Linked DNA regions of Bombyx mori. The protein of the gene in region 1 interacts with the protein of each later gene in a biochemical or structural test. Links are inferred from orthologs where the notes say so. Each region holds a gene or a part of one and is shown in the gene's direction. Other genes may lie near its edges.

Evidence for each region.
Region 2: of the proteins of ubiquitin-conjugating enzyme E2 (region 1) and Smt3, one has a biochemical effect on the other in vitro, tested with the Drosophila melanogaster proteins (2 studies listed by BioGRID). The link is inferred for Bombyx mori from reciprocal best matches to the Drosophila melanogaster genes lwr and Sumo.

The regions. Positions count from the first base shown.
Region 1 is NC_085114.1:7,023,614-7,041,031, forward strand, and holds ubiquitin-conjugating enzyme E2, read left to right. Parts: upstream 1-9,397; 5' UTR 9,398-9,564; coding exon 9,565-9,630; intron 9,631-9,701; coding exon 9,702-9,785; intron 9,786-9,909; coding exon 9,910-10,172; intron 10,173-10,396; coding exon 10,397-10,463; 3' UTR 10,464-10,974; downstream 10,975-17,418. Other genes in the region: general transcription factor IIH subunit 2, read right to left, coding at 489-626, 829-937, 1,481-1,612, 2,889-3,064, 3,831-3,929, 4,301-4,463, 4,628-4,767, 5,408-5,609 and 1 more; uncharacterized protein LOC101744580, read left to right, coding at 16,818-16,905, 16,984-17,117.
Region 2 is NC_085129.1:12,053,024-12,070,292, forward strand, and holds Smt3 (ubiquitin-like protein SMT3), read left to right. Parts: upstream 1-10,016; 5' UTR 10,017-10,142; coding exon 10,143-10,160; intron 10,161-10,304; coding exon 10,305-10,421; intron 10,422-11,014; coding exon 11,015-11,155; 3' UTR 11,156-11,571; downstream 11,572-17,269.

The DNA.
Region 1 (17,418 bases):
GCGAAACAAACGCCGACTGAACGACGCACCGGTGAATGAGTTGATATTAATTTGACCAACGCGATCTCCTCCCGATATGCGATTACATATTTCCGCACAATACACGTAATCAATCGCAAAAAAAAAAGGTGCGATGTGAAAGAAGTGAAACTTCTGCGTACTATTGTTCTTCATTTTTCATCCTTAAATCAAATTTCTCTTGTATAAGAGAATGCTGTGTATAAGAGAAACGACCTAGCTCGCTTTGTCATTTCCCTCTCCAGGGTCGAGTGGTTCGCGAGACGGTTTCTCTATTTTCTCAGTCTCACTCGTCCTAAATTGTATCTTTTCTCTCTAAGCGTAACGAATCTGTCGCGAGTTAAATTTTACTCTCAACGCGCCTAAAGAAGTTTCACTTCAAAAAAGTCCCTTTGCGATGGTTATTATATAATTGCACGAAAAATAATACAACAAGTGTTCATTCATTTATTCATTTATTAATTCATTTATTACGATGAGGTCGTGCTTGGTAGCCGCTGGTACAAATGAGGTCTGGTGGCGCAGCCAGGACACACGTGCAGCGTGGCCGTCACCGCGCCCTCGCACTCCCAGCAGTAGTACTCTTTACATCGGGGACAACGATGTATCTACAAACAAAAATTTATATATTCAAAAATCGACTCTATTGCTCTTAGAATAACTTCTACACACACACACGCAAGTTTTCGTCGTTAATGAATGCTCGGTATGAAAATTTTATTTTAGAAATATTAATACAATTACGTTAAAACGAAACATGTAGACTATTTACAGGAAAGGCAGATAAAAAATGTGAGACATGTAACATACCTTCTTGTCTATATCGGTGAAGGTTCTTAAGCATCCAAAACAATACTGCGCCTGGCCATCATTATCTAATTCTTCATAAGGTTCCACTGGAAACAGGTGATGGTATGATCTACAATAAGATTAGAAATTATGAAAATCGATTTACAATTACAAACACGAATAAAATTAAACCTGCAAAAAATTATAAGTTTACTATGTAAATCTGCTGCAGAGCATTTTCAAATTCAAAACTAGAATATACTTGGATGTCCTCCGGTCAGTATATCGGTGTTCAAACCACCCGGTAAGGGAAATATAGGGGGAGAAACTATAGGTCAACCATTTATTTTAGGGCCTTTTTTTTCTACGTATGCTGAAGGCCTTGAGAGACTATTTCAGCTTCACCCTGACGTGTAGGTGAGATCACGGAGCTCAAACCGGAAGTATTGCTAACACTGGCCTTAGCAATAACAGTGATTCGCATAATCTACCACCGGATCGGAAACGCGACCCACTGAGAAGATCCGGCGAGAAACTCAGTGGGCTGTGTCTGAAGGTTAATTTACCGGTGACCGGGCAGGCCCATGATCTTCTGTGCTCATCTACAGCAATATAAGACTTTATCTCGTAAAACAAATATCGTTTGAAGAAAGGGGTCGTTTGACAGATGTACCTTGCAAGATGTGGTGCTGATGCGAGTGTCAGGCCGCAGGTGCGACACTGAGCTGGCAACGAACAATACTTGGAGCGGCACTGCGGACACAGGTGACCCTCGCCGCCTATACCTTCGCCTTCCTCCAAATGACTGAACAAAAATAAGAGTTTAAAAAAAATAAAAACGATGCGCGTGCAACTTGGTGCACGTGAATGAAGTGAAGCTTCTTATTCCATGAGTAATATTGTGTTTTTTTTTCATTTCTCATCCTTAAATCAGATTGCTCTTGTAATAAGGAATGCTGTGTATAAGAGATGCGACATCTTCATCATTACATATATAGGTAAGGATATACGTATATAGGTATTTTTTTTAAATACTTCATTAAAATATTGGACGCTACTCGTTGGTAACGCCCTGGCTGTAGCAGGTATACAACGCGCAAGCGTTCGAGTGCCACGGATTCACTCTCGCTCTGTCTCTTTCTATTCCATGGTAGCGTTAAAAGTTTAACGCAAACTTGTTGGAAGTCGCATTAGAAGTTTCACTTCAAAACGTAAAGGAATAACACCGTGTAATAAAAATCAAACCCGCAAAATTATAATTTGCGTAATTACTGATGGTAGGACCTCTTGTGGGTTCGCACGGGTAGGTCCCACCACGCTGCCTATTTCTGCCGTGAAGCAGTAATGCGTTTCGGTTTCAAGGGTGGGGCAGCCGTTGTAACTACACTGAGACCTTAAAGCTCATATCTCAAGGTGGGTAGCGGCATTTACGTTGTAAATGACTATGGACTCCGGTAACCACTTAACACCAGGTGGGCTGTGAGCCACACATCTATAAAAAAAATAATAATAATAGTAATAATAAGTCCCTAAAAGCCTCTCAAAACATCTCGAGAGGCTTGGTCTCAACGAAAAGTCGGTGGTGGCCCAAATGCAAAAAGCAGTCTTGCTCGACAATGCCCGGATAGTTTGCCGGTTTCTCTCCCAATAGTCCCTAACGCTCCGGCCAATTGTTGCCCACCTCGCCGGTGTGTCTTGCCGTCTTCCCAGGCGAGGCAGTGTTTAATACACATAATAATAATAACAATAACACTCATTCCTTACCATCTTCACCATAGCCTTAAATTAATCACTCTCAAACAAAATCTCTAATTAACCCTCCAAAAAGCCGCTATTTTAAACACCTGCCGAATCGTGAGGAAGTTTATGCAGGTTGACGATAACACACCAACATTAACATCAAGCAATTAGCACTTGGCTTACGCCCGTGCTACCATGAAATTACCGGCTCCGCCGAGAAAAGTGGTCGATAAAAATAATAACACTACAGACAAACGCATTTCATGAAAGTTTAGATTTACGCTAAGCGTTTCTTTCGTTCTTTCTCAAGTTTTAAAATTTAAGCAAGACACGGAACTCACCACATACAAACAGTAATAGGTGGATCGACATTAGCCCCTGGGTCGGCTTGTTCCTCGAGCGGCGTTGAATGCGGGAAGCCCATCTTCACCAGGCCCGCGTCCAACGAGCGGGCGCGGGGCGGCGGCGACGTGTACTCTAGTAGCAGTGACTGGTAGTGACAATCGTCTAATACCACCTAAAAACATATTATGTACATCGTTAGCAAATTGGCTTACTAACAAAAAAAAAATTAAGAAGTAAATAAAAGAACTATGTATGTACTTTTGTTTTTAAACCTGAGTTTAACAGTCATGCTTTAATACCTTTTATATTGTACACTTTTCCCCTCTTATGCATCGTATTTCTCTCTGCTAATGGTTTGCTGGAAGAAAACTCATGAATGAGTTAAGCTCGCCTTTGTAGGTACATAGTATTTAGACATTCTTTTTAATCTGTTTTTATTGTATTTTCTCTTTTGTGTACAATAAGTATAAATAAAATAAATAAATACTTATTAACAAAAATATACATTTATTATTTTAAGAAAAAATATTTTTTTTTTATATTATGTACATACATAATTATTTTAGAAAAATGGTAAATAAAATATTGAGGTTATTCAATTGGTCTCGCATAATACTCTTCTACTGGAATCTCGATAAACGCACCTCCACATGCACGTACACAGAACAACAACCGCAGTCTCACAGAAAGAAATAAAGAGAAAGAGTAAAGTAGCATGGAGGACTTTTTTTCTTGCGTGATAATTTCTACAAGGCATATTCTATCACAACATCAATAACAAATTCCGTAACTATAACATTTTATATCAAATAGTGGGACAGAAAAAGAGTCCTTAGCGGCTAGTTCAAAAATAAAAGCAGTCTTAAATAAGCTCTTTTTAATAACAATGCTTACATACAAAAGCGAAACTGCGAAATTATCAATAGAGAATAGCTTACACCATAATCTCCATTAGTGTCTTGACACATTTTTTTGCAAATCCGCACTTCAGCAGCTAGACCAATAACAGAACATCTAATTCCATCTGTTTTTAGTGTCTACAAAAAGATAAAAATAATTAAATATCTAATCTAATAAATAAATATTATCTCACAGTATAGTTTATTTTAGGTTATTGAAACAAACAAAACTTTCATTGAAATACCAAGTTTTGGATTTAAAATGCTAACACAACATTATTAGTATTACTTGCCATATAAAGTGGAGAAGTCTGTCTCAATTGATCGTCAATGGCGCAGGTCACCAGTGGACATCAGCAATGCAAAGAACTTGTTAAAGCTAAACAAAAACTGAGCTTTATGGAGTGTCGTGGAACCATGTTAAATATCTTTACGGATTTCTATTTTAACAAATCTGTGGTGATCAACAAAAGTAAAATAAGGCATTTCAATAATCAAAACTGTCTTACTTCTATGGTAGTGTTTATATCACTTGGATCGCAAGTTGTAAGGGATGCGAAAAGCACTAGTAATTCTCTTGACGCGTGTCCAGGCAGAGGCCTTAGGATTCGCCCAGCCAGCTCTAGCGTATTTTGTAATGATGGCTCTCCAGTCAGCGGAGTGTTGGATAAACTGTTTAGAGAACTTTTTGTTTTATTTTTTCAAATAACTAAAAGCTTTTGTTTATATGACATATTTAATTGATTTTTCTATCATTTTTCGATAAAACTATTAATGTCAAGTTAATAAAAGTAATATATTGAAATTAATAAATACAACAATAATTTAATACTTGCCCTTGTATGGCTTTAATGTGTTTCCGGACATTTCCAGATAGGTCAGTTATTTTCTCAGCTCTCTTATTCTTCATTGCTATTAAACCAAGCTGACTGAGAGGATTCTGGTCAAAAAACTCTTCAACAAATTTCTCGAGCAACTAGAAATATACACAGATTAAACTTATTAAATAAAATTGTATTTATAGCTTCATTAGAACATGATTTCTTCTCACTAATGGGGGTACACCCTACGTCTCGCAAACATTTGTGACCATGGAGCTGTTATATCATGGCCTATGCTGTCTATCTGTGAAGAATATTAACTATGCCCATGATGAAGTTCAAACACTGTTAAATATTATTATAGTATTTACAAATTGCATGCAAAAAAAATCAGCCAGCTGACAAAACAAAGGCATAGATGGTATACAAGTAATTATAGTTATATAGATATAGAAATATGACAGAGAAACAAAATCAATTGGTTAAACACTGAAGGACTGCTTTGTAACTTTTCTGAGTAAACTACTCCAGTTGTCCGTATTGCAAAAAAGAATGGAGACATTCATCTCTATTGAAATGAACTGAATACAATTAATCAAGCTACAGAGTTAGCCAATGGCCACTGCATATGAAGTGTTAGCCATGATATCTGGATGTCAACTTCCAACCTTTATGCTTCTACTCAAATGGTAGTTACAATACAAAGACACCAGGTATATCTAATAAACTTTAAACTACTTAATAGCATACAGCTCAGCCTCTAGCAGTTTATGAAGGTAAAAGATATTTCTTTACCTTCAATGTGCACAGAAACCGTGAAGGTTTCAAATCTTGGGAGCTCATAGCCTCAGAACAATCTATGGCTAAAAGTAAATGCCTCATCATGCCAAGTCTGACTGGACCTTTACGAGGAGCAGCTGCTTTACGTGCTGCTTTCTGGGCAAATTCAGCCACCAGGCTTTCAACCAACCCATCTTCATCTTCTTTAATAGCCTCCCTACACATAAATATTTAATTTATGATTCAATAGACACATAACATATATGTTAAAAACTGTAAAACTAAAGAGTAATCAGAGTAAATTAAAGTATTATGAAGAATTTTCAAAAACAAACTTGTAATTACACTTTATTTTTATAACATATATTCATTATTTTTTAGAATATGGTGAAATCATAAGGTTAAAGTTAAAGATTTCCAGTAATTTGCTGTGTGTAGGCCTCATTGAATTTGTAATGGTGGCCCAAGATGATCGCTCGTCGTGTTTGTTAATATCTGAACAGGTTTTATTTAGTTTATCTGTAGTTTAGCAAAATAAAAAATAGGCTCTCTGTATAACTGTCATTACTGGTGGTAGGACCTCTTGAGAGTCCGCGCGGGTAGGTACCACCAACCTGCTTATTTCTGCCGTGAAGCAGTAATGCGTTTCGGCTTGAAGGGTGGGGCAGCCTAACTATACCTGAAATCTTAGAAGTTATGTCTCAAGGTGGTTGGCGCATTTACGTCGATATCTATGGGCTCCAGTAACCACTTAACATCAGATGGGCTGTGAGCTCGTCCACCCATCTAAGCAATAAAAAAAACTTAATAATAATAGACTACTTTGCAATCGCATTTGCCTGTTACCACATTACAGTATCTATCTATCATCAGCCCGCAGACGGCGACTGCTAGATATAAGCTAAGACCCGCCAAAACGACCAGTCCTGCACTGCTAAGATTTTGCAGATTCCAGCCACATTCAACAATACAGACAATAGTATGTTCTATTCAATAGTATGCATGAAAGACATTAACGAGTCTTTCAGGAAAAGGTAAAAAAATAATTTAAATTGATTCATTAACGTTAACTGTTTCTATATTTGATTTTTAATAAAATGGAAGTTCGCTTTGAAAGGTTAGCCTTGTGTATTTACAAACAAATAAACGTAAATAAATAAACATAATAACAATACAACTATAAATTTTCTAACCAAGTTTTTTCATAACCAGTTTCCCATCGATACTCTTTAGGGTCATCTTCATCAGCCATTATTAATTATTTACTAAAATTTAAAGTTTAAAATCAACTTTTATTTGCATTTCAAGGTTTATCAATCAAGTGCTAGGTGCTAGGTATGTATGTTTTTTAAGGGGTTTTATGACCTGGTAACTAAGACCTTTAAGTCATGTCTTATTTTAATTGAAATTCTTATTTTTATGAAAAATGTTAATATGGAGTGAATGAAATGAAATGAAGATAATTAATTTGAGACATTAATCAACTGGGATGAAATTAAATGAAATGTAATCTCAGTAAAATGGTGGTCATTTATTGAGATTTTTTCAGTGGACTTTTTGGAGGATCCCGAGAAGTTACATCCAGCGACTTTGTTCTATTTTCCCACATTTGTGCACTTTCACAGATATTAAACAGTTAATAAACCACCATTATTACACATTTCAACCCGAAGAAACACTAAATAGACCAAATAAAACAAATCACACAACTTCAGTCCTCGCGTTCCAGCTAAAAAGTCTAGGTATGTATGTCCATGGAGTTCCAATTACGAAGTCCCATTTAACAGATATCAAATACTAGTAAATACCGCTTTATTCGATACTCGACGATATTGATCTTCGATTACTTTAACGAACAAATTAAAATCGTATTGACAGAAAAAGGATTAGCATCCAATAATAAAACTTTGTTTTTTAAATTTAGTTAGATAATATTACATGATATTTTTATCAAGATGGAACTTATTCATCATCAATAGCCGAAATCGATATTTCTATACAGGCGTTTTTTTTTATCCTACCTAAGCTGATAGCCTTGAGATGCTATTTCAGCGTCGCCTTAGCTAGTAGGTGAGCTCATGGGGCTCAAGCCTGATGACGTTGCTAATACGAACCCTAGCAAGAGCCGTGCTTCGCAGAATCTACCGCCGGATCGGAAACGCGACCCACTGAGAAGATCCGGCGAGAAACTCAGTGGGCTGATCTAAGGTTTAATTTACTCGTCGAGCCCTTCGTCGCAAGCGACGGGTTCGACGAGAACGGTGACCGGTGCTTGAGTAAAAGCACCGTTAGTGGATCGGGAAAATCCGAAATGACGTGTTTGGGGCGACGTCGACTGCTTTCCATTCTTTCCGCAGGATCGGGAATGTAGTTACCGGCGGCCACGATGAGAGGGTTCTCGTGTCGTGCCGCTTTATCGAAGTGGCGCATCGACGCCGACTGCAAATACTTATTGATGGACTCTAAGGCCAGGTCGTCATGGAGGTCGACGTTCCTGACGAACCACGGGGCTCCGACGGGTATCCCGCAAAAACGGGATTGAATAACTTGGAATGATTTTAAGCGAGTGCGGGCCGCGTGAGCGAACACTACACTTGCATGACGGGGCGTATGCAAGTTTTGTAGAGCGTCACCTTATTTCTAAGGGACATTTTACTTCGCCTGCATATCATCGAGTAGAGGCGTCCTAGTGTGAAGGCGGGGGCGGAATGTCACCCTCGACAGAAGGATACCTAGTCGGGAGTGGGATTCAGGCGATAAAAACACAAGGTATTTATTATAATTTGGTTATCTATGATGGTATCGATATGTGTGTCTCTGTTCCAATCAGCGAAAAACTAATTTTTTGTTCGTAAAACCTAACCTTCCTAATTCGCGGCAGTAGCACTATCACAAGCTTTTTGCAACAATGACAGCATTTTGTTTGCAGTAAATGGTGGGCTCAGTGGTGGATTTACACTAGGGGCAGTCGCGTAGTCGGGGCAAGTGCCCAGTGCGGCAATTTTTTAGGGCGGCAAAATTTTGGAAGTAAAATTTTTGAAATTAATTCTATTAATTAATCATTTTCTGTTTAATTGATAATACAAAAAATTGAATTCATCCATTATTTGTGAATTATAATTTTGGCACTTTAGGTAAAAATTCATAATCAAAATTATTTAGTCAATTTATTTCCTTGAACATTTAAAATAATAATCGATTTTTCCATTTTCTGGACTTAAAGAAATTTAATTTTTTTTTTCATTTAATATTTATGAGTCACCCTTAGTGCAAAATTTATAATTGTTAGAAAAAAAACAAATATTTATTTATGTTTTTGGAATATATAACATATGATAAAGTTTCTGCAAGAAATTACTTATTTAATTTTGAAAAAAATAGTTATAAACTATAATTTTTGGTAAAATTCCAGTATTGGGGCGGATTTTTTGCCCAGGAGCGGAGTCTAAATCCGGCCCTAAGTGGGTCGATATTTTTACGAGCCGCAATCTAAAATAAAGGTTTACGTGTTAATATAGCAACAGATAAAATATTAAAATAGGTAAAAATAAATTATTAAATACATTTATTTAAATCCTTACCTTTAATTTGCGCCCAAATAGATTCTATGGCATTGCATTGACAATAGTAGGGTGGAAGGCGCATTACATTGTGTCCGGCTTCCTTAGCCATTTCGTCCAATACCTATTTTGGTCTTACAATTTTCGTTAACACGGAGTCATTCCTAAGTCGCAAAAGTAATTTTAATTGTGGTATCTTCATTTGCAAAAAAAGATAAAAGAGAGATTAATTGCATTTTAAAAACAGCTCATAAATATTTGTGTAATTTTTTTGAAACATTTAATTAGACTGAATTTCGGCTATCGTCGTAATTAAGACCCGTTTTTACTGCTAAAATTAAATTAATATTAAATGTCAACAGCAACACTATTAACTTCCTACAGCAGAAAAGAAAAAAAAGTGAATCGATTATTTTCATTTTTTATCTGTAGTCTATACTACAATTTTGTCGACCGCTCTGAAATTAAGGGACGCTATTTCGCGCTTTTTCATTTATTTTTATTGTAATTTCGTTCTAGTTTTAGCTCGATTATAAGTAAAATCTATCGCCCAACATTAAGAATAGCCCTTGATTGAAGCTCGGCTCATAAATCGAGTTATTTTTGTAGAAAATGTCAGGGATAGCAAGTGCACGTTTAGCTGAAGAACGGAAAGCTTGGCGTAAGGACCATCCCTTTGTAAGTTTTTGTTTGTTGAAAACACATTGATTTATGTTTTCGTAAATAAATAAGCTATTCATCTATTTCAGGGTTTTGTCGCGAGGCCTATGAAGAATCCAGATGGTTCATTGAATTTAATGACTTGGGAATGTGCGATACCTGGTAAAAAGGGGGTTAGTATTTCTATATCGTGAAAACTTCTTGTTTCTTATTGATGCAGTTTTAAAGTTATTGAGTTTAAGCATAGTAAATTACGGTAGTAGAAGTTCTAAAACTATAACCGGTTTTTCTTTTTAGACTCCATGGGAAGGTGGGCTGTATAAACTACGTATGATCTTCAAAGATGATTATCCATCAAGTCCTCCAAAATGCAAATTTGAACCACCACTGTTCCACCCCAATGTGTATCCATCAGGTACGGTGTGCTTGTCACTGCTTGATGAAGAAAAAGATTGGCGTCCAGCAATCACAATAAAGCAAATTTTGTTGGGTATTCAAGATCTTCTCAATGAGCCTAACGTAAAAGATCCAGCGCAAGCTGAAGCCTACACAATTTATTGGTAAGTTAAACATAAACATTTTCAATACCCGTATTGCATTTAAAGAACTGTTATGTTTTATAATGTTTAATTTTGTAAAAATTGAATTTTTTTGTAATATATGTATTTGTTATATTACTGAAAATATATCACGAAACTATCCACATATTGTGATACTAATATTTAATTACTGTGACCTACAAAACTTGTATGCCTCAATATTAAATAAAATTTTATTGTTACAGTCAAAATCGGCTAGAGTATGACAAGCGAGTAAGAGCGCAGGCACGTGCAATGGCTGCTGCTGAGTAAATATCAGAATGGGACAATGGAGCGTTAATGAGCTAAGCCATTGCCTAAAAAGCAGTATAAATGTGAAGACAGGAGATTAAAACAGCAACACTACGCTATTTTGGAGATTGTGCTATAACATTATCTTCATGGTATTTTCCAGTTCCAAAAGTATTTAATCCACACAGTACGCAGTGATGGTTTAAACTATAGATTTAAGTAATTTTGAAGTAAATGCAAGTTTTTAATAACAGACCAAATCAACACTATGCTAATGTTAGTTATTTTAATTCTGGAAAATTTTGAAGCCATTATGAATTCATCATTTTATGGCTAACTTGTATTTATTTATTTGTTAAGTTAATAACAGAAATGTTAACAAGCAAAAAGCATCAAAGATTTTAATTACAACCGAATATACAAACATGTTGCTGTAATTCTCAAAATATACGGTTACATTTCGAATCTATGTTATTTTAAAATATTTTTGTATCTTATGTTAGACTTAATGAACAATAAATATTTAAATTCTACAATTTACTGTGTATTTTTAAGTTAAAATTTTTTCAGATTATTTTCACAATCATTCACTATTCAAAGTCAGCGCTTTCTAATCAGCCGTTCAGAGTAACTATTTGGAAAACAAATAATTCATAACTTTATTTATTTATCAAAATGGTTAGTTGACATCAGATATTTCATTTCACATGCTGATATTCATTAAAGTTGGGAGTTAAACAAATATTTGTTTTATTCCAGCTTAAACGCAATCATTATTTAGTTTGATGACAGATATAATTAAAAATTAGCTACAAAAACCTCCATCTAGTAGTGAATAGGCACCTCAAAATACAAAAGGTGAGAGACAGGCGAACTATACGATCACGACCCAACTAGTTTTAAGTAATAACTGAAACTATTTAATATGGTATTTTCTATTATTAGAACCCATTGAACTTGCCAAATAATGCCAGGACTAACTTAGAGATATGAGTTCGAAGACTTGATTTTGTTATACGAGTTTAAGGGACGCCCACCCCATAGATTATACACTTAATAACCCATTTTCAAATCAACAACCAATTAGTCCTTTTCCGCAATTTCGAATATGCGACGGTCCCTCAACATATCGCCGCGCACTAAAATGCAGTTTTCTAGACAGTGTGGGTCAACGAACTCGCAGCCTACCTGGTGTTAATTGGTCATCGGAGCCCATAGACATGAACATCGTAAATGCTACTACCCACTTTCAGACATGAGTACTGTCGTAAAAAGTACCCTTTGAATCGTAATGCATTATTGCTTCTCGGCAGAATTAGGCGGGGTGGTGGTATCTACCTGTGAGGGCTCACAAGACGCCCTACCCACAATCCACAAGTAATTACGCAAATTATATTTTTTGCGAGTTTGATATTATTATACGATGTTAATCCTCTTCATCGAGGAAGCCAATCGTGAACATTTTTGAAATAAGTTTTTCATCAGAAAAATTGGTACCGCATACGGTCGTATTATCCCGCAGGCCATGACGACTTTAAAATTATAAAAAATGACCAGCTATACGTAGCTGACGACATAGAGCCTGACAAATTATAATAAATACATAAAAAATTATGGTTGACGCTCGCCTAGTGCCCACCAGTCAAATACCTACAGTCCGCGCGCGAGCTCCGAGGATTCGTGGGCTGAGGAAGCGGGCGGGCGTGCACCGCGCCCGACCGTCGCTTCATACCCCGCACTCTCCCACTACTAGTGTCGACCTTAACATGAGAGTGCGCTTACTGACTCGTTGTTTTTAATTTTGCGATAGCAATGTTAATTACGTGTGTTTTTAGTATAGTCTTACACTTATAAGTATTGTTGTTTGCAAGCTATATAATTTGATGAGAAAGGAATGGCGAGCACTAGCATAATAACCATGTCTTAGTATTAGAGGAATATTACTAGCAAAAGGATGGCTTAATGGAGGATGTTGTCGAATCATTTATTATTGAAGTACGTGAGGAGAGTGACATCAAGAGGAGAGTACATCAAATTCTTCAACTACTGATTAATCTGATTGCGAGAGTAATTAATAAGATTTCACGTTCATTTTGTTCAATAAGTATCAGTTCATTAAATTAAATTCATACGTGATCAGTTGTTTTTTTTTATTTTATTTCAAGTACATAATACCCTCATAAAACTATTTTATAATTTACACTCGCACGGAGGCTTAAGATGTGTTAGTATCGATAGCGCAATATCGACTAATTACAACACTAGCTCATTACGTCAACATTCCTTAAAAATCCTCGGAGCTCGCGCGCGGACTGTATTTTGTTAAATTTTATGTCATGTTTTTACCGAAATATATTTTATTATTTTAATATATTTACATAGTAAATTTGTTGTAATTAATGTGCATTGTAATTGTTTCTGTAATAAGCAATTATATTGACTTTTTTACACAAAAAGTAACAAAATTTTGTTTATACTGTGGAACGGAACGTGAAATGACGCATTTATTTATGGCGTCTTTTTATCTGTCTCTGTAATAAACTAACTTTTTATATAAATTTTAAATATAAAACAGTAAAATTGCTCGTGTTTTGGAAATAAAACTGCAAACATATTCGAAAAATATCGAAAACCGAATCAGAGCACCCACATTCCACCTGGTCTTGTCTGCCCTACCCCTAGAGTGTATATAAAAAACCGGAGACGCGGAGGGATAATGGTGCAGGGGGTAAACTCTTACCCCCCTCCCTCGCCCCACCCCCACCCCGACCCAAAAATCGACGGACCCAAAAGGAAAGTTTAAGCCTATTTTCAAATATAAGTAAATTTAAACAAGATTTTTTGCTGAAGTGAAAACACCGCCATGACAACGTCGATGACAGTATACTGTACTGTAAACATAGACCTATATAGTAGGGACACGACATATTGTTCTATACGTACAATTGCTTATATAAATAGCACCCATTTTGAAGGCACATATATAAACATATATCTATCTCGTTTTTACTCAGCACTTTAACTCGCAGGAAAACAATATAACAGTATTTCAGTGCGTACATAAAATGAAACATGAATATACGTAAATATCTCCGTCACCGTCTAATGAGGCCGAAAATCCGCCATGTTTAGCGCGCCAAATGTCATTGTCACGTCAGTTCGGCCGTCTGTTTTGGGTTGTACATTATTTATTGACTTTGATATCGATTTAATATGATTGATTATATAAAATTTCATAATTTATTATGCTTAAAACATACAAAAATAATAATTAAAACGTATTTTATAGGATCTCAAGAAAGTCGATGCCCTAAAACTATTATCTATATGTATTTAAATTCATTATGGAGCCCTCATCCGAAAAATCCATTTTTCGGTCGGAATCTATTGATCATGACACTAATCATAAATACCACTTTAAAATATGTCATCAAAACATATTTAGACATTCTGTTTAGATATTTCGGGAAAAAGGCTACCGACAAAATCTCTTCGGAACTATTTAAATAAAATAGTTTTATTCCGCAGTGAGTAAAACACTATTGTAAATTTGTTAAATATTTAATAATTAAATGATTTTAGAGAGGAAGTCACAAGGAATGACGTTTTTAATTAATGAATAAATGTTCTGTAGGTGTTTTTTTTTTCACGCGGTCCCTTGATAAGTTTAAAATTTGAATCACTCTTAAGCGAAAGTGATTCAAATGGTGCGGCGCACCTTCCTTGGGGTGCGCTGCGGTAGTATGTTACAGACTTTAGAGTCAGCAAAACAATTAAAATAGATTGTAATAGTCTAAGAAAAACACGTACTTAAAATACGATAACATTTAGCATGCTAGAAATGGGCTGATGGCTTTGAACTACGCCATATCTTTATGTTTTGCGACAAACGACAATTTTATAAAATCAGTGTAGCAACTTTTAAAAATCATTATATCGTTTACTTGGCAAATTCGAAGGACGAACTTGTCTTTGATTTGACCCATCTAAATCATATCATATTTGCACATAACAATACACCTACTTACTTCCCATTAAAGTATAAATTCTACAAATAAGTAATACTCAACAATATTTAAAATAAAATGAGCCAAGATCGTTTATCGATAAAACCTGATAACATTGAAATCTTTTGTACAGCACTAAAGCCGCCATGTTTTGTGGCCAGATGACGTCACACTGGCGCGAATTTTTGGTTGACGTTTCATTTCCATAGGTTTCCTACTTCATTGACTGTAAAGGAACGGCTTGGCAGTATACTAATTTGACGTCACACTTTACAGTGCTCGCAGTGCAAATCGGAACATACCAGAAGTGTAACAGCTTATGGCGCTGTTTTTAAAATCTTTCCACTTGTTACTATGGCGCCATCTTAATTTGCTGCCCTTCAGTGGACACTTTTTAATATACTGAGATGGTTCTCCTTGCCTCTACCCTCCATAATTCAACAACATAATACCTCATTTTATCCAAAAAAAAAATATCCAAAAAATAAAAAATAAATGTTTGGGGTGGACAACCCTTATCACTTAGGTGTATGAAAAATAGATAGTAGATGATTCTCAGACCTACTGAGCATACTATTGATACACAAATAAAACCAAAAAACATGGCTGGCAAGCTACGATTGATACACAAATAAAACCAACAAAACATGGCTGAAAAATGTATAGTGAGTAAGACAGGAGACCGGCTTCGTCCTCATCCCTACTACGTGATGTTTGCTGGATGAGTGTTGAACAAAACACAAAGTTGTGAACAATTTTTTTTGTAAAGATGATTACATTATTTGTTTACACCTTGGCCTATCATGGCCTTGGTCTTCGACACATTTTATCAAGGTACCGACATGTTATGGCTGCAGGTTTATTCCAGATTCGTCTAATAATCCGCTGCATTTTGTAACAAGTATGAACGCTGAAGAAATAAAAATATTATTACGTTGTCCATTTTTCTGCCAAAGATGTGATTATGCTTTATACCACGGGCTCCCAAACTTATTTCGTCTATTGCCCACTTTGAGAATAAATTATTTTTTAGCGCCCCCATTTTATCACCTACTTATAGACCACTATAGCGAGAGCTCAGTCGGTATCTAAGAGTCCTCCTAGATAAAATTACAAATCGCCTCCCAAGCTTCTACACAGTGCCCCCAAAATTTAAAAAAAAAAATAACTACAAAACTTCTTTACTGTGATTTTAAAACAAAGTTGTGGGCAAATGGTAGGTAACGTAACATTTTGCTGTAAATGTTAACATTATTTTTATAGACACGTAAAATGATGATTATGTCACCCTATTGAAATGCATAAAAGTTGACGAAATTGATTTGGTGTTTTAATTGACGTAATTGATAGACGGTAACAAAATAAGAATATTTCTGCGCCTTTGGTATATTTCTACACATTCCTCAACTTTATTACAAATTAAACCTCACAATAAACCTCATATTCAAAATCTTTAGACTCCAATCTACAAATGAAAACAAAAAAAATAGTTTAACATTTTTATTTTAGTACATTATCCTATTGATGATGCAATTAGTTTGAGAAATGCTTGAGAAATGTTTAAGAAATTATTTTGAGAAATGATACATCAAACTTAATTGAAAATAGATCTAGGGTCAAATGAATCTAGAAAAGTCGGTCAATATTGACGGCTAAATTATCATGTCGGTGTTGCTGGTCGCCTTTGTGTGAACTTGAAGTGCGTTCTGTCGTGACAATTTTTTCTGATCTATTTCATTGGTTGAAATATACGGTTTTATCTTGCTATTGGTGTTTAAGAGATACCATTTGCAAAGAAAACGTGCGTTGTCGGCTAATCACTAGATGGCGTAGCGTATGTGTCGGTGAAAGGGTTTTTTTGGTCATTGAATTTTCAATTCTTGGTGTGATTTGTAGCATTTCGCGTTGCATGTGAAGATTATTTTTGTGAAATTGTTTTGGTAGGTAGGTAATGTTGTGACATTTCATTAAATAAAAAGTAAAAGGTTACAAAAATATTGTAATAAGTGTGTACGCGATTAAAATATTTATTTTTTCATTGGTTAAATTTTGTGTAAATCGAAACATAATCATCTACCCAAAACGATAAGTGGTGAAGAAATGAAAACTAGATAAATCAAATACAATAATTTGTCCAATACAAAAGTGTCTGTCTGTGTTTTTAGAACTAGTGAAGAATAGTAAAAATGAACTATGTGACAATATTAAACTAGACATTCAATGTTCTGTTAAAACTTGAAAGCGTGGCTTTTAATCTATTATGAATGAGTTGGCGGGAATTACTATTTACCGGCAAGCAAGGTTATGATGTAAGGAAAAGCTACTAAAAGATAAGATGAAATAAGTTTTGATTTGCAGATTTTAAAAAATGACATCTATGGAAGAGAGTGAAACTCCTGAAGAGGTGATACCTGGAAATCCAGATGAACTTGCCAAAAATCCTACTGCACTTAAAGGTGAGATAAATACAGATTATGAAGTTTATGTTCATTTCAAACACAAAACTAATTTAAATAATGCTAAAACTTTTGTAGATGCTCATGAACAAATGGCAGCACTAGATATTCTGGTCTGTGGGCAGTGTCACTCTGCATTCCATTTTGTAGAAGAGTTTAAAGAACATAAAGAAGGTACCAATTGTTCAGGAAAGTCCCCAGTAAGGGATAGTGTGAGTATACAACTGTATTTTAAATTTTTCAATTGAAAACCTAACACTACTACAATACACTGCTTAATATTGTAACTAAAATGTTGTAAGTATTATTGACATAACTACAGATACAAAAGATCATCTTACTTAATCCCCACTAAAAAGTAAAAATAAACACATATCTTAAAACTGTATTAGCTATTACACCTCTATGAAGTCTGATGAGAAATCCATTTACCTAGTGCACATGGTAAAGTGTTTATCTACCTTACTACTTAGGTCTGTTATTGAGAGACATCTGTCTCAGATTGGATGGTTT
Region 2 (17,269 bases), on another chromosome or scaffold:
CCTATTTCTTCTGCGAAGCAATCATGCGTTCTAATTCGAAGGGTGGGATAGCCGTATAATAAACTAGACTTCGACTCCACTTTTCATGGTGGGTGGAGAGCCCATACATACCTACTGTTGTATAACAGTATAAAGAAAGCCTCCTACTTAAATTTCCATGGACTTATCTCTAACAAAGATCAGTACTCTGCTACAATCAAAATTAATTCTATAATCTATAGACGGTAAATCTCTCCTAATGCCATATAAGTAGTCAATGACGACGGTAAAAAATATTTTTCTACGTTTCAGTATTAACGCCAAAATGACTTGTTGGTTGTAATATGTAATCGTTTCTCCTTTCAGATTCGGAATTCGAGGAGTTGGGTGAGCAACTACCTCGTTACAGGCCGGACTCCATAGCTGCGTTACGACGGGCCACGCGCTTCACAGAACCCGAGCTCAAGAGACTTTACCGAGGTTTCAAAGCAGAATGTCCGACCGGCGTTGTAAAAGAAGACACCTTCAAACTTATTTACTCACAGTTCTTCCCCCAAGGAGGTAAGTTTGTCGGAAAACAGAACTCATTTCCAATCAGTCATCATGCTTGGGCATATATGAGCCCAAAGGTTAGGTGCCAAAGGAATGCCTTTTTCTACCATAAAGCAGTCATGAGTCCCGATTTAAAATATGGGACAACCATTACGTATTCAACTGTAACCAGTCACCATTAGATGGACTGTATAATCGTTTGCCAACATCAGCAAAAAAAAAAATGGGGACATGGACTCTTAATCGAAATAGTGCAATAAAAAAAAAGTGTGTGTGTCCGCTCCGACGCACGACTGGAGTTTACTGGATATAAATATAAATTTGTGTCAGTTGAATACAGTAAAATATGGAAGTTACGTATTCTAGTGAGAATGATCCGGGAGTTGCGGAACACGTGGATGCGGTAATTAAGTAAGTCTATATAATTCACTTTTACAATTAATATATAAGTTGTCCATTCACTGATAGAAGGAATTGTTTATATTTAATAAGCTTTATTAATAAATGATTTGTAGCGGGTTATATTCGGGTATCAACCCACTAACAGTTGATACGTTCAGGAATCGAACCCGAACGGCGTCCGGCCACAAGCAAAACGATGTCGGTAAATTAAACGAAACAATACGAGAAATAGTTCTATATTACGACAACACGATACACTACAGATTATTAACAAATTAACGAGACACAAAACAAACGACTAACAAATATATGAAAATACAATAATGAGAGAAACGCGCGATCAGTACGAGGCTTTGTGGCGGACTGCCGGCGCAGCAGCCCGGCGTCACCTGCGATAACGCGGCCGCGCGTTGGCTCCTGATTGGCGCGCGCACGCATCACGCAATCAGGAGCCAATCAGGCGCATAACGCATTTCGTGTGACATGCTATACTCTCTAGTACGATTTTGGTCCCCATAATTTTCATACCCCGGGCCTATATATGTAAATCGATTCTTAAGGAGTAAACTCCAATAGTAAAAAATGCACTAATTTAAGCAAAAAACAATTTAAAACAAAGATTTTCCGCTTTATTTTGGTATGTAGTGGTGAGTATTAAAATGGAACAATGGTCACCTGTCTGACTACAGGAGAGTTATCTTTGGTTGATTGATTTGAAAATAAGGTGTCGGTTGAAAAGTTGTCGATAGTATAAGCTGTAGTTAGGAGCAGCAATTTGAATACTTATAATTACTATCTGGATCTAAAATTCTCGGAGACCAATGAGGTATATTTTCTCTTAAAAGGCAATTTGTTGGAGTATTTTTGCAGTAATTGCCAAACGCGGTTCCCAGTAATCTTTATTTTTTATTTTTTTATTGCCGTAGAGGCAGACGACCGTACGGCCCACCTGATGGAGAGTGATTATCGTCTCTCATGGACGTCAGCAATGCTAGGGGTAGAGCCAAGCCGCTACCTACCCTTTAATACTCTCCGCAAGCCTTCGTTTGAAGAAGGATATATCATAGCGCTAGGAAAACACTGTGGAGGGGAGCTCATTCCAAAGTCCGATGGTACGTGGCAAAAAAGATCTCTGGAAACGCACTGTGTATGAACGCAGTGGCTCCAGGTAGTATGGATGAACTCTCTACTCCAATGGCGGGCGATGCGATGGTATAAACGAGATGATGATATCATCTCAAACAGTTCCTCAGAGCAATTTAATATTATAAGCCTTTCAATATTTATACTAACATTGCGTGTTATCTTTATAAACTCATTTAAGTCGAAATATGAAGCAGTTACAAATCGCATGCAGTCTTTTATGCAATTTATTATAAATAAAGTTCTCATGGTGTTTCATTTATTCTATAATCCTTACAAAGCAACCCTTTCCCTATAACATTCGATTAACATAAATTACGACATAAGCCTACAGGTAAGTGATAATTTACATGTCATCACTATGATAGTTATATAAGCGGCCAATCCAAAAGGGAACATTTAATATTCTCTTAGCAGTATTAGTATTGCAACTTAGTTTTACTCGTGGAACCTTTTGTTACAAAGTATTATAAAATGGCATACACACCGCCGAGAATAGAGGAAGATGGCGAAACGTCATCCAGAGAAGGATTTTTTTGTTGTGTTATGTGGTTACTGAAACCCATAAACATCTACAACGTAAATGCGCCACCCACCTTGAGATATAAGTTCTAAGGTCTCAGTATAGTTGCAACGGCTGCTCCACCCTTCAAACCGAAACGCAATACTGCTTCACGGTAGAAATAGGCAGGGTGGTGGTACCTATCCGTGCGGACTCACAAGATGTCCTACCAACAGTAATTACGCAATGGGAGGAGATGGCCACGACTCTCAGACATGAGGAATGCGACTCATGGAGGAGGATTATAAAATTTCTCATAATTAAAACTTTAATCTGTAAGTTACAAATAGGACATCAATATAAAATGATCTTGTTATCAACAGATTTATCATAGATTCGTGTGACTTTCCCTTCAAAATTACATTACTGGTAGATTCTTTATTGGCAAACTAGAACAATATTGGTCCAGTTTTAAGCAATTATCGAAGACTAGGCATCACAACTGGTTACCTTCAATGAGACAATCTTAGACTAACGGCTGACTTACTGAAAATGAGATTTTTTTTGGTATATTTAAGTTTCTGTACTGAAATAAATGTTTTAGTTTCTTTTTAAATCACACGTTCTACAAGTTGCAATAACACATTGGTTAATTAATATACAATCTTCTATTATATATTAGAGTCAAAATTGTTCTAAAATGCATTGGTTAATCAATATTCTGTATTAGTCTCAAAATTGTTCTAAAATCCAATTCAATTAATCCTATTGTCTTAACCAAATATAAACCAGGTAAGGTCAAAGGTGTCCCCGGGTACAAAGCTAATAAAATATGCCGACCGTACTCAAAGAATGAAATGGGGACATGAAAAACGCATCACATAATCATAATAATATAACCCCATCAAGTTAAGTAGGCTCCGGAAAGCCGAGCAGGGTTGTCGACAGAAATATTTGATTTCCAACTAGATTATTAAAAAGAAAGCTTTATACTTGTTAATGTGCTCATCTTCACAATATGCATCTTAAAAATACAGTAACACACTAGTGGTGTTCTAAGCGAGGTTCTGACGCGAGTTGTTGTGCAATTTTTTTTTTTGTACCGCGGAAAATCACCGGATCCTCGACCGGCGGATGGGGTATGTGGGAGTTGAACCTCACCAAAAACTCCTGCCGCTCACAGCCAGCGGCCGACCCGGTCATGGGTGCAGCTTGCCGCACACCAGCCTATACGGGCTCCCCAATGGGTTCCGCTTCGAGCGCCTCCAAGAGTGTCCCCATGTTCTGTTCCTTGAACCGTCAAGCGATAGGAGGTTTTAGTCGATTCAACTCCGACATGCTCTACCTACACTCAACCCATAGGCGGAAGACCAGCAATTTCCTCATGACCGAAAAAAAATACTGGTAGGAGGCGTACAGTGAGCTCGAAGGCGAAAGTTTATCTATCAAACCTACTTATTTTTTGCCGCGTAACAGTCCATTCTGGTTTTTGGTATTCATAAGCCTTATATCTATGCAATTGACACTTCGACTCCACATCTTAGGGTGACAGGTGATGTCTACTTCTTACTATACCTAGTAAAAAAGTACATCGTTTCTGTTAGATTTCAAATTTAAATACTATCATCCATCCTTATTATTTACTGCACAGCAATTAAAATAGTCAATGCTAATGCAGTAGATAGTATCTATATCTGAAATCCTCATTGTAATTCATATTGAGTCTGATACATTAGGTATAGGAGAGAAGCCGCATCATTATCACGATTCCAGAAGGTTTTTAATACTGGATCGTTAAAAATATATTACGTCTTCTCGTTATTTTCCAATAACGTATTGTGTATTTACATAGCCGCGTATTCAGGGCAACGTAGGGTTTTATTTTCTGGCCGATATTTTACCTGCATCGGCGCATAATAGTGAGCGCTCAATGCACCGGAATACATCGAAATACTGAGGATAATGGCTTCGAAATTCTATTTGGAAGCAAGCTTATTTTATTTCTTCTCTGTATTCACTATTTAATTGTCTTGAATAAGGGTTAAGTAATAAGTATACCTTAAACGCTAAAATATGATAATACAAAATAATAAGAAAAAACAAAACTGACATCAACAAAATGAAATAAGATTGGCATCAACACAGTCGAACTCAATTAAATATGCATTATTAAAGATAACTCAAAAAACACATGAAAATCACCAGAATTTGATTGATTTTAATTTGATTAAAAACTAATGATCAGTATCGGTTCACCAATAAAAACGTTCTGAGGTAAAAAACAACATAATAAAAAAATACTATCGCGTTAATAGCCTCCCCATTTTTTAAATCGGTTAAATTTAATTTACAAACGTTCTTTACGCCAGACATATTATATAAATCATATATATAAATTACCAGATACGTAGATCACATTTTTATGTATAAGCTTCGACAGCAACTTATCATGCCATAAGCTTATTCGGCCATTTGACAGAAGATACAAAATGAGGTTTTATAGTCAGACACGCCTAATTCACAAAATGTTGATGCTATGGGCTAAATGTCACGTCGAGTTCTCGACGAGGACGGTGATGAGTTTTGGTTTCGGCCAGCGATCGGAAGTTTGGTCACGTTAAAGGACTTATTGCTACTAGAATAAAAACAACCGCGTCATCGTCGAAGAAGGCTAAAGCAGTGACTGGTAGATGTATACTGAGCAAGAGCAGATCTAGGAGCTAGCTAGACATGGTAGATAGTTTTTTTTTTGTAACTAGTGGTAGGATTTGTTGTTAGTTCGCGCGGATAGGTACCACCACACTGCCTGTAGTGCGTTTCAAATAAGAATGTGCACGTCAATGACCTTGAGCTGTAAAAATATTTGAATAGGAACAAAAAAAATCTTATGTTTAGTGAATTTTCTGCATAATTATGTGGACTAATTATTTATTTATTTATTGAAGTGAAACTTCCTTATCGGCGTTGGAAAAAAATTTACCGTCACATTTTTCGGTTTCGCGTCACTTTTTTCCGTTACGCGCCATCTGTTTTGTATTCATGTCTATGATAATAAAATCCTTTTGTTTAAACTTTATCTAATTTAACTTTTTTGTATTCATGTCTATGATAATAAAATCCTTTTGTTTAAACTTTATCTAATTTAACTTTATTTAACCAATTTCTAGAAAGTTGCATGTAGATCATTTTTCGAAAAATAAGGCCATAAACAAGTTTCACTTCTTACGTGTGTACACTAGTACACGCACACATTTTTTTTTTATTGCTCTTGTAGGCAGACGAGCATACGGCCCACCTGATGGTGAGTGGTTACCGTCGCCCATGGACTTCAGCAATGCCAGGGGCAGAGCCAAGCTGCTGCCTACCGCAATTGATAATTAATATGTTTGTTTTAATGAACCATACACACCTATATAATTTCCTTGAAATGTTGAGTACTGGTCGAGGTAAATTAAAAATAAATTTAGATTATATTTAAAAAATACACCTATATAAAAATTAAGGCTGCAACACTGTCGGGCCGTATAATCTATGGATGGGCGAAGATGATGATCATAATTTCTCAAGCAGTGGGATCAGTGGAATCGGCAAACTCGAAAATTTGGATTATGAATAAATATTTAAAAATTCCGACCTTTTTTTACTGACTTCAACTATTTTTTTCGATTTGACAGCTATGACGTCACAATATGGCGCAGGTCCATGCACATTCTTATTTGAAAAGCATTATATTTCTGCCGTGAAGCAGTAATGCGTTTCGGCTTAAAGGGTGGGACAGCCGTTGTACTATAAAAACGGTGAACTTAGAACTATTTATCTCAAGGTACGTGGCGGCATTTATGTTGTAGATGTCTGTGGGTTCAGGTAACCACTTAACATCAGGTGGGCCGTGAGCTCATTCACCTACCTAAGCAATAAAAAACTTTATGATTGTAGGGAAGCTAACTCAACCTCTACCTCCTTAATGACTATATCAGTGTTTTAGAGGCGTATTGGAAATTGTGAGGGTCCGACCTGGACGATAATATAAAAAGTGGGATGGTGTGAGTTCTTCGTATTCAGTATGGTACGATTTATATGCTCTACAAATCATATGTCAAAATCGTGTCTATATTTACTATTAGTTGGGCGTCTTGTAAGCCTGCACGGGTAGATCCTACCACCCTATTTCTGCTGCGAAGCAGTGATGCTTTACGGTTTGAAGGGTGGAGCAGCCATTATACTTATAGAACTGAGACTTAGAAATCATTTCTCAAGGTGAGTGGCCGTATTTATGCTAATGCTGTCTATGGACTCCGGTAACCATTTAAGATCTCCATGGGCTATGATTAGCTTCTTACTTATAGATGTGAGGGTTACGGAAAATGAAAATAGTACGAATAATATATGCGAATTTCGGTTTTTGTATTCCTAAAATAGTGTCGTGTTCCTAAAAAAGTTAAAGTCAACGACTGAGTCTTTGAGAATAAATGTATATATCAGCATGTGTAAAAAAAAACCTTGATATAATTTAAATAATAATTTTCATATATTGGTAATAACAAAAACCGAACAGGGTCGCTAGAGTGTTTCGATCAGTAGTTTAATGACTACTTAGTTGACAATTTAGTTGATGTAAAAAAGATCGGAACTTTAGTAAAGTTCCTATCCTCGTAACTCAAAAACGAACGGTAAACTTGACAGCAACATTTCGTTTTTAATGAACCAGGCATTTCATTAAATGTAGTAAATACTTTTATTTTTCTATTTATGGTAGGGTAGTATCTTATTATTTCAACTGTAGGAACAAGACCAAAACCAAATTATGCCGTAAATCTCAAAAACCCTCTAAAACGAACGAATTATTATTCGACATGCTTCGGAAAACGAATCACGTCCGTACATATTTTAAATCTGTACCAAAAAGAATTATTCGTCGGTTTAGCAATTATTCGCAACTGGCCCGGTTGTTATCGCTGCGAACCCAGTACGACGATGGTCTACAAATCTGCACGCGCAACACAAACATTGCACGGGAACAACAATCGTTGCCCATAAAAACCACATGTTTGAAAAATGTCCATTTTATTAACAGCAACGAGAGCCGTACTCACGTGTTGAAATGTAAATGAGCAACCGTTTGGTTGTTTGTAAGCTTTTTTTTTTTATTAAGACACTGAAATCTTATAAAGCGAAAACAATTGTAATGATATCACAATTTATAAAGATTAATTTAATTTGGTGGTAAAGTTTCCTTTTACTAACAAAAATGTTGGTATTTTTGTCTCTTTTTTTCTCTCCCTACCCTCCTGCGTCTTTTATCCCTTTGTGTTAAACTTCGTACAATTTCTGTTGGTACTCCTACCTATTCGCTAGTAACATAAGAGGCTATTCTAGCTACGCCCGAACGCGTACGTGAACTCACGGACTCAATCTGAGAGAATTTGCTAACACTAGCCCTAGCAGGAGCAGTGCTTCGCAGAATCTACCACCGGATCGGAATCACGACCCACTGAGAAGATCCGGCGAGAAACTCAGTGGGCTGTATCTATGGGCCGGTTAGTACTTTAGACAAAGGTTTTGTCATAGTATATACTACCAACGTACGACGGTACATGAGAGCCACGTTCTTACTGTCTCATAATCGTGATACCGTTTTCAGAACTCCCTGATGATAGACATATAAATATGAGTAGGCTTTGTTACCAGTTGGAATAGGTCGTAAGCCAAGGGGAAATTATAGACAGTCCAACCCTAAAATCTGAGTGATCTTAGACTCTAACGATACCTGACGATGACCTTTAAAATCTCGTTTAATATTACTTTACCTGACATCAAACTTTTGAATTAACTTAATAAGAGCTATGGAGCTTATGAAATCGTTGTGGCCTAAAGAATAAGACGTCTGGTGGATTCGTATGTGGTGGTAGTAACGCTGTGGTGGTAGGCTGGTGTAACGATGTTCGAATCCCGCTGGCAGGTATCAATTTTTGTAATGAAATTCGTACTTAACAAATGCTCACGATTGACTTCCGCGTGTATTAAAAATCAAACCCGAAAAATAATAATTTGCGTAATTACTGGTAGTAGGACGTCCTGTGAGTCCGCACGGATACCATCACTCTGCCTATTTCTGCCATGAAGCAGTAATTTCGCTTTGAAGGGTGGAGCAGCCGTTGTACTGTAAAACTGAAACCTTAGAACCCATATCTCAAGGTAGGTGGTGGCATTTACATTGTAGATATCTATGAGCCCCGGTGACCACTTAACATCAGGTGGGCCGTGATCTCATCCACCCACCTAAGTAATAAAAAAAGTTAGTTCCGCATTAATGCTATATGAGATATACAATCAGTATAATCTGTTTTCCTGTTCTTTGAATCGTGGAAATAGAGAGTACGTTGTTAGTTACCCTATTTTTGGCGGGTGGACGAATTCAGGTTCAAACAGGAAGGGTGGAGTTTGTATCAAACTGCTCAAGCGCTCCCGAAGAAGACCAAAGAGGTCGATGGTAGCTACTTCGTATGTGCCTCAACCACCGGATCGGAATCGCGAGCCGCTGAAATAATTGAGAAAATCAGTGAGCTGATGTGATGAGCTAAGTTTTACATCGAACTTTTCTCCAAGTTCAGCAAGTATAATAATAATCTTGGATCCAGTGTGCTTAGTGCGAGTTTTTTAACGTTCTCGATAGCGTAAAAGTTAACACCAATTTGTATGCAGTTGGAACAGCGCCTCTAGCTGCAAACGTAGGCAAAAGCTCCAATTCCATACAAATTTGAATTAACTTTTACGCTATCGAGAACGTTAAGAAACTGGCACTAAGCACACTGGTCCCTTTTTGTTCCTACACTGAAATAATGAAACATACAACTTCGAAGAATCATAATCAAATTTTACCCCATGCTTTTTCGTCATAGTCAGAGGTAATAATTTGACTAACCAATATATTACCAATATATGTGTATTTGATGTTTAATCTTGGCTGTTTAGAATATAAAAAAAGCGTGTAACGGAACGTAATTACCGACTTTTCCCCTCCCTAGCGATTTCCGTTAAAATCTATCGAGAGATACAACACTATCAACGGAAACAGCTTTTGTTGAAAGGTTGGTACATGCAGTTATATTGATTAATTGGCTTTTTAACTAGATTTTAAGCTACGTTTAGTATAAAGTATTGAAATTATTAATGTACTATTATTGAAATAATCTAGTTACAGAAATAAAACTGTAAAATGCTTCTATGAATCAATAGGAACAACAAGAACAGGATTGTAGACGAAACTTGAAAATTAAATATTTTTTTTATAACAATCCTTTATAATCCTAGATATTCTGATATCTTTTAATTCCGACAAGCAGCTTATAAGTCCATTTCGACGCTCTCATTGCGCAGAAGCGCGCCATTTGCACCGTGAAATGTTGGCAGCACTGTACCTTTTCCGCCAAGCTACGACCGGACGCCATTACCACGCCATCGCACAAGCTGTCATTTACGCGTTCGTTTGTGAAAACAGATACCAAATCAGTTTGTCAATTCACAGTTTTGTATTAATAGTTTCTAGAACCACATTAATCTCAAAATGGCTGATGAAAAGAAGGTATGTGTGCATTGCGTATTATCAGTGTATAAAACAAAACATTCGATACCGACATGGCGACATCTTAAAGTGTGGTTATATCTTCAAATTACAACTAAATCTCTTTCACGGCATAACTTATTGAATTGCTAACTTATTTTTCAGGGAGAAAACGAACACATTAATCTGAAAGTATTAGGTCAAGATAACGCAATTGTACAATTCAAAATAAAGAAACACACACCTCTCAGGAAATTGATGAATGCTTATTGTGATAGAGCAGTAAGTAAATTACATATTTATTATTGAAGTACCTACTTAACCTACATCTTGAGTAAAATCGATTTATAATTTAGACAAAGACGACGGTTTTTTTAAACTAAAACCAATACTACCTGTTTTCTGTGAATCGATTTACTTACAATTATTTTCAAATCGTAAACTATTACAAATAAGATGCCCATCATAATTAATACTTAATATTATATATCATGTCAATTGGATTTTTCGTTTATTTTTTATAAACTTCGTTCACCCAATGATCGAAATTCGACTAGCGACGGATACCTCAAGATTTAAATTGCATTAAAATAAATTTTGTCTTGTTAATGAAAATCGACAAGGAACTAACTTTTCCAAATATTTACATTGATAAAAGAAAATATTGTCAATAGATGTTACATTAACCTAAAATTAGTAACAAGAACTGTTTTGTCTTTTCCCATTTAAACACATTCTCAATAGCAAAATCATAACGGACTTTTTATTTCATATCTATTGGTTAAAGCGTACATTGATATTAGTTTATTAAGTAGTAAGAACAACAATGCTGATTTTATGTGACGTCTTACACAAATAATCATTTTGTTTTTCAGGGTCTATCAATGCAGGTAGTGCGATTCAGATTTGATGGGCAACCAATAAATGAGAATGACACTCCAACATCACTTGAGATGGAAGAGGGCGACACAATAGAGGTTTACCAACAGCAGACCGGAGGAGTGTCCCTAGTGTAAATTTAATAATCTTAAGGATTGACCATCTCCAATGGGTCAAAATCAATGAGGTGTACCCGTCTCAAGCTCTAACCTTAAGTTAATTTTAAAGAAACATCATTTGTATCTGTAAAAGTGTTAGGAAGTAATTTTGTGACACATAATAGCATAGCCGAGCTACGCAAAGCATTATGCGTCTCAAATAACTTGTGGTAAGGTAAATTATAAGTATACCAAATGCTGTAGGTAACTTCAACAATTCCATTGTGATATGTTTAGTTGACACGTCTACGAAGGCAAGACTGTTGTAGTGCTGCAGTAATAAAGCAAATGCAAACCTAGCCTATTATGGTATCTAATTTATTGGGCCTATGTCCATTTCGACATCAGTTCTGTAACCAACGATATCTGAAACAAAATAAATGTAATATGTATTATTCTTCTGTTTCATTTATTTTTTCCTTTATTGCTGAATCTTTTAACTCGTTTATCACAAGCTGGATCAGCATGTGGTCATGCCTGCTGCCCCGTCTCGTGTAAAACGTTCCAATGCAATCTGCTTACATCACATAAACACCAATACAGCAAATGCGACTAGATAAAAATCGTTTAAAAAAAACCTATTTAATCATCATGAATAATAGGTATGAATGAGTCACCAGCAATGATGACTTCATAATTTACATAAGTGCATTTAAAATGAAAAGCCGGTCTAATCTGCCCAGTTGGTATTATGAATTTACTGGAGTGTCATGTAGCCGCAATCGGTAAATTTTATTTAAAAAACTGCATCGTACCTTTTTAATCGAAACAAAATTGCTGCACGATAGAAGGGTGCCGCTGGGAATGTGCTCACATGTAATACGGCAGCAGAAACAGTTCCGAAGCCTGTGTCGCCTATTTGCTTTCACAAGTCGTAGATATAATTAAAACTACTTTCAATATTTCATTTTATGCATTATGGTTACATTTTTTCCGACGTTTCCTATACTTTACAGTTTTCGTGGCCACATAAGACACGTAAAAGTCGTTTTAACTACCTGTATCTTTTCATGATTAGTCGAAGCGGCTTCTTTTGTGCCCTCACGAAAAAACTTAACTACTACAAAATGCAGTTTATGTGAAATATTTTGGTCGATCGATCTCAAAGAAGTGTTTCATGTTTATGTTATAGTAAAATAATTTGAAAGAATTATATTTAAATCAAGGAAATAGTATACATGTGATGTGTCACCACGTAAGCATACCTTCATGAAATTAATAAAAAAAATTAAACAAGACAAATGGTCGCGGAATACTGCCGCCTGATCTAGATTTTTTTTTTTTTTAATGAAGTATTACTGGTGGCCCGGAGGCCTTTCCAGTTTCACCAGGACAGGTAGATTTAATTATGAATAATAGTCTAACAAAAAATAATAAAAAAAAATTTAATCTCGACATTACTTCTCCAGCATAGTTCCGTTGTGACAGCTAGCTCCTTAGCTTACCTTATTTAGTAACCTGACTCCAATTAATTTCTATTCTGATATTTTGCCGACCGCAGCTTTATTATTGCCAAGGAGGGTAAATGCGAAACAATGTACTATTTATCACACTGTCAGCCTAATCTAACTCAATGAAGAAATCATATTGTACCTATAGTCTATACTTAAAACGAAAAACTAAATAATTTTGAAAAATAAACTCCATATCATTGTTAGTTATTCTATTCTACTTTCATTGGTAGGTACGTAATAATATTGCAGTCAGTCTATTTTCTGTACAGAAAAAAATGATCTGTTAATTTATCAGGCGCCCAGATAAAATAAATCAAGAATTGCAGTCAGTCTATTTTCTGTACAGAAAAAAAATGATCTGTTAATTTATCAGGCGCCCAGATAAAATAAATCAAGAATACATATATTATGTATCTATTATAGTATTCTTATACGTAGTACCTAAGTACTATATTAACTGTAGCATTACAATTGTTACATAATTGTTCAACCGATTTTTTAACATTTACCTCAGCTTAGGTAGGTATTAGGAGTTTTGTGTATCGTAGAAATACTATCGAATCGCGCATTAGCTTTGTCAGTGGGTACATTTATTTTACATCATACACTGAGTTCTATCAACATACATAACATAACAACATAAATGAACGTAAACATTTTTATTCGCAATCCAAATTGTGTTCTTGTTATTTCTGGTCAGTGGATCTTGTGCCTAATCATAAAAATATTAACTAATAATCGGAAAATACGTAGGTATAGGTACCTATTTAACCTTGGCTTCCCTGAATGACTGCTTCCTTATCATCCACCCATATTCATATTATTCTCAACTTTTTTCTCCCCTAGTCCCTACTTGCGAATTACCTAGGTAGGGCATGTTGCACGCCCGCACGGATTCCATCTTCTTGCCTATTTCTGCCGCGACATGATTCCGGTTTCAAAGTATGAATAGCTACTGTACCATGGTTTTAATCTTATCTCAAAATGAAAATCAGATAAGCAGCATTTTGGCTATGGTGTCCATGGCCTCCAATAGCCAGTTAACAGCAGGTGGACAGAGAGAGTCCTTGGTTGGATTTACATTTTTTTTATAAAAGTTATATTTTTATAAACAAAGTCCTCTGTCAATAATCACCAACCTTAGATTACAAATCTAATTTTAATGATGATCTTCTTTTCAGCTAATACCGCCCAATACGCGCACTATGTATTCAACACATTGGACCAAGACAGAAGTGGATTGTTAAGTTTTGAGGTGAGAAACAAATGATGCCGAACTAGAACCACGTTGCGTTTCGGTTTGAAGGGTGAGGCAGCCGTTGTAACTATACTGAGACCTTAGAACTTGTATCTCAAGGTGCGTGGTGGCATTTATGTGGTAGATGTCTATGGGCTCCAGTAATCACTTAACACCACGTGGGCTGTGAGCTCGTCCAACAAACTAAGCAATAAAAATAATAAAAACGTGTATATATTAACTATTAGAAGGAAATATATTAACATGTTTGTATTCCCGTATACATGAACACTAATAAACACAATGTTAATAAATATTAATAAATACATACCTAAAGCAGAGTTCTACTTAGTAGACAGCTTGAAACAAGATAATTAAAAAAGTTCTAATCAAATCTGTGTTAATTGCAGGAGTTTGTGACTGGATTATCGATCCTGTCGAGGGGAACTTTGGAAGAAAAGCTGCGATGGACTTTCTCTTTATATGATATTAACGGCGACGGTTACATTACCAAAGAAGAGATGACAGAAATTGTTTCAGCGATATACGATCTCATGGGCAAGATCGTTGAACCCATCGTCGATGACGACGTAGTTAGAGATAAAGTTGAAAGACTATTCCAGGTGAATATTATTTCTTATTATATTTTTAAGCAATAAGTTACTAATAAGGTAATGCTACAAGTATATTTAAGCACTCTACAACCTGCCTGCATGTTGATTCAGTGAATATTAAAAAAAAAACAATGGGTATATGTAACCAACTCATATAATGTTTGTTAAAATTTATCGTTTCTGATCAATCGTTGTTGTAAAATTGGAAGAACACTTTATTACCTATTTCAAATCTTTCATAAAAAACGTTTTACGTTACAGAAAATGGATCTGAATCGCGATGGTGTGCTAACATTGGACGAATTTCTGGATTGCTGCCTACGCGACGAAGAAATTTCCAGATCAATGGGTGTCTTTGACAGCAACTTCTGACAACCCGCGACTGGCGCACGACCGGCCCGCCGTGCTCCTTTACCATACTCATAAAAAAAACATAATAAATCTATTTACTTACCTACTTATCATTTAATAATTATACTCTATCGTAATCTCGTAGTAAGACCTCTTTTATCTAAGATTCCAATTAAATTATAGTGTTTGTACTCGTGTCGTAGGCACTGAATACTAACTAGTGTATTCTCATTCTAGATTTGAATGATCTAAACGCATGCATATTTACGGCTATAATAATTATGTTAAAATCTTGTAAAACTTTTTCAACTACTAATTTTTGTAACGTACAAATAATTCACTGTATCAAATCTTAATTAACCATCTAAAATTCTGCTCAAATAAGAAAGCGTAAAAAAACTGTCATTTCATTAGATACATACTAATATTTCTCCAGTTTACCCACAGCCTAATTGATGATGAGTAGTCATCGCCGCTCGTGGACATCAACAATGCCAGAGTCACAGCTAAGGCACTTATTACTAAAACAAGTAAAACTAAACCTTGTTCGAACAAGGACAAGTGGTAGCTTTTGGAACACACCAAAGGGGCTCATTCCACTGAGCATCATTGAAGTCTTGAATTGCTTTCTGAAACAATGCAACTCTCCAAGAAATAAGGAAGTACTTTAGTCCAGTAGCGTGTTGTGTGAGTGGATATCACGGGATCGGCTCAAATAGTTTTGTCAGAACATTCCCCATAGAACTTACTATACAAAATAAAGTACCCGTAGACCCAAGCCTTTACCCACATTCAGTCGATTCTCCTGCCTGCCTCTATTCATTTTAATAATATTTGTACCGTTTACAGCTCAGTCAAAAAATACAGTAGTAACTTTATTTTATTAACCTAATAATCGATTCCTAAAAGTAAAAGCAAATATGCATGAGCGGTGTCACCAACTTGCCTATTTTTGCCTCTCTTACTCAATTTGAAGAGACATCTACCTCACGTCTCAAGGTGAGTGGTGTTTTGAATGTTACAATAAATAAACAAACGACTCTGCTAACAATTTAATACCAGATCGGCCGTGGGCTCCTCTGTTCTACTGTAATTAAAAAATCTGAGCTATATGAAAAGTTAAATCATTAAAAAAAACATTTACTAAAGAGAATACTTATTCAATGATTTAATATTAAAGATTTACATATTTTTCCCATTATTTCAAATCAGTCCGGCCATTTTTCATAGAGTTTAGTATACGATCAATTTCTTTGATACTTATTCCTTCAAACTTCAAGCCATCTCGTGTAATGTACCTACTTACCTACCTAAAACTATAGTAGTCTAATATATCGATAGACCGAAAACGCAAGATCCTAACACTGCCATTTATAAAATACCTAAATATGAACTAAGTGGGTATACCGTACCCTCTTTCTGTTTACGAATATGGTGACAAATTTGAATGTCTACTAATATAACATACGAAATTTATATAGCCAATCTTTGTTTAATTATTAAGTACATCGACCACTATTAATAATTCACTGGTTTTAGTTTTAGGACGTTTGCGAACCGGCAAGGGTAGAAAAGACCATCTGCATACTTCTGCGGCGAAACTGTCAGTATTTCTGTTATGGATCCGTTTGATTTTTAAGTATTAGTGGCATTAACGATGTCCATGAGCTCCGGCAACCACTTAACACAAGGATTCTTTCGTCCTCGCCTCAATTGCAAAAAAAACAAAGAACCTAATACGTACCCTTTGCCTCGTAGTATAATATTGTTGGAAAATAGTAATAGAAAACTGAAACATGTCGACATGTTAATACCAAACGCAGTGTAAGCATTTAGAAGATTTAATTTATAAAAATAGGTTTTCATACATATTTTTTTATTACATAGTTGGGTGGACGAGTTCACGACCCCTTTTTTTTATTGCTTAGATTGGTGCATTAGCTCACAACCCACCCATTGGTGTTAAGTGGTTACCGGAGCCCATAGACATCTACAACGTAAATGCCGTCACCCACCTTGAAATATGAGTTCTAAGGTTTCTTTTTTTACAGTACAAAGGTTGCCCCACCCTCCAAACCGAAACGCTTTATGGCTTCACGGCAGAAATAGGTGGGGTGGTGGTACCTCCTACCCGTGCGGACTCACTAGAGGTCCTACCACCAGTTCAACCACCAGTACCTATCCAATCATTTGTTGCAGATAATATTACTGACGCGAATAGTAAACGGTAGGTATAGATCTGAAGATCATTCTAATATTCCCCTAAATGAATCAAATACATAATTACTGTTTTAGTTCATTTACTTATAGATGATTCACATGCAAATGGCCATGTGTGCTTTTCTTTTTTGTGCTCAGCAAAGATTTACTAAGGAGTGATTCTTTTTTAATTTGCGTGAAATGTGAGTCTAAGATAGATTTAATTAAAGTGTATTAT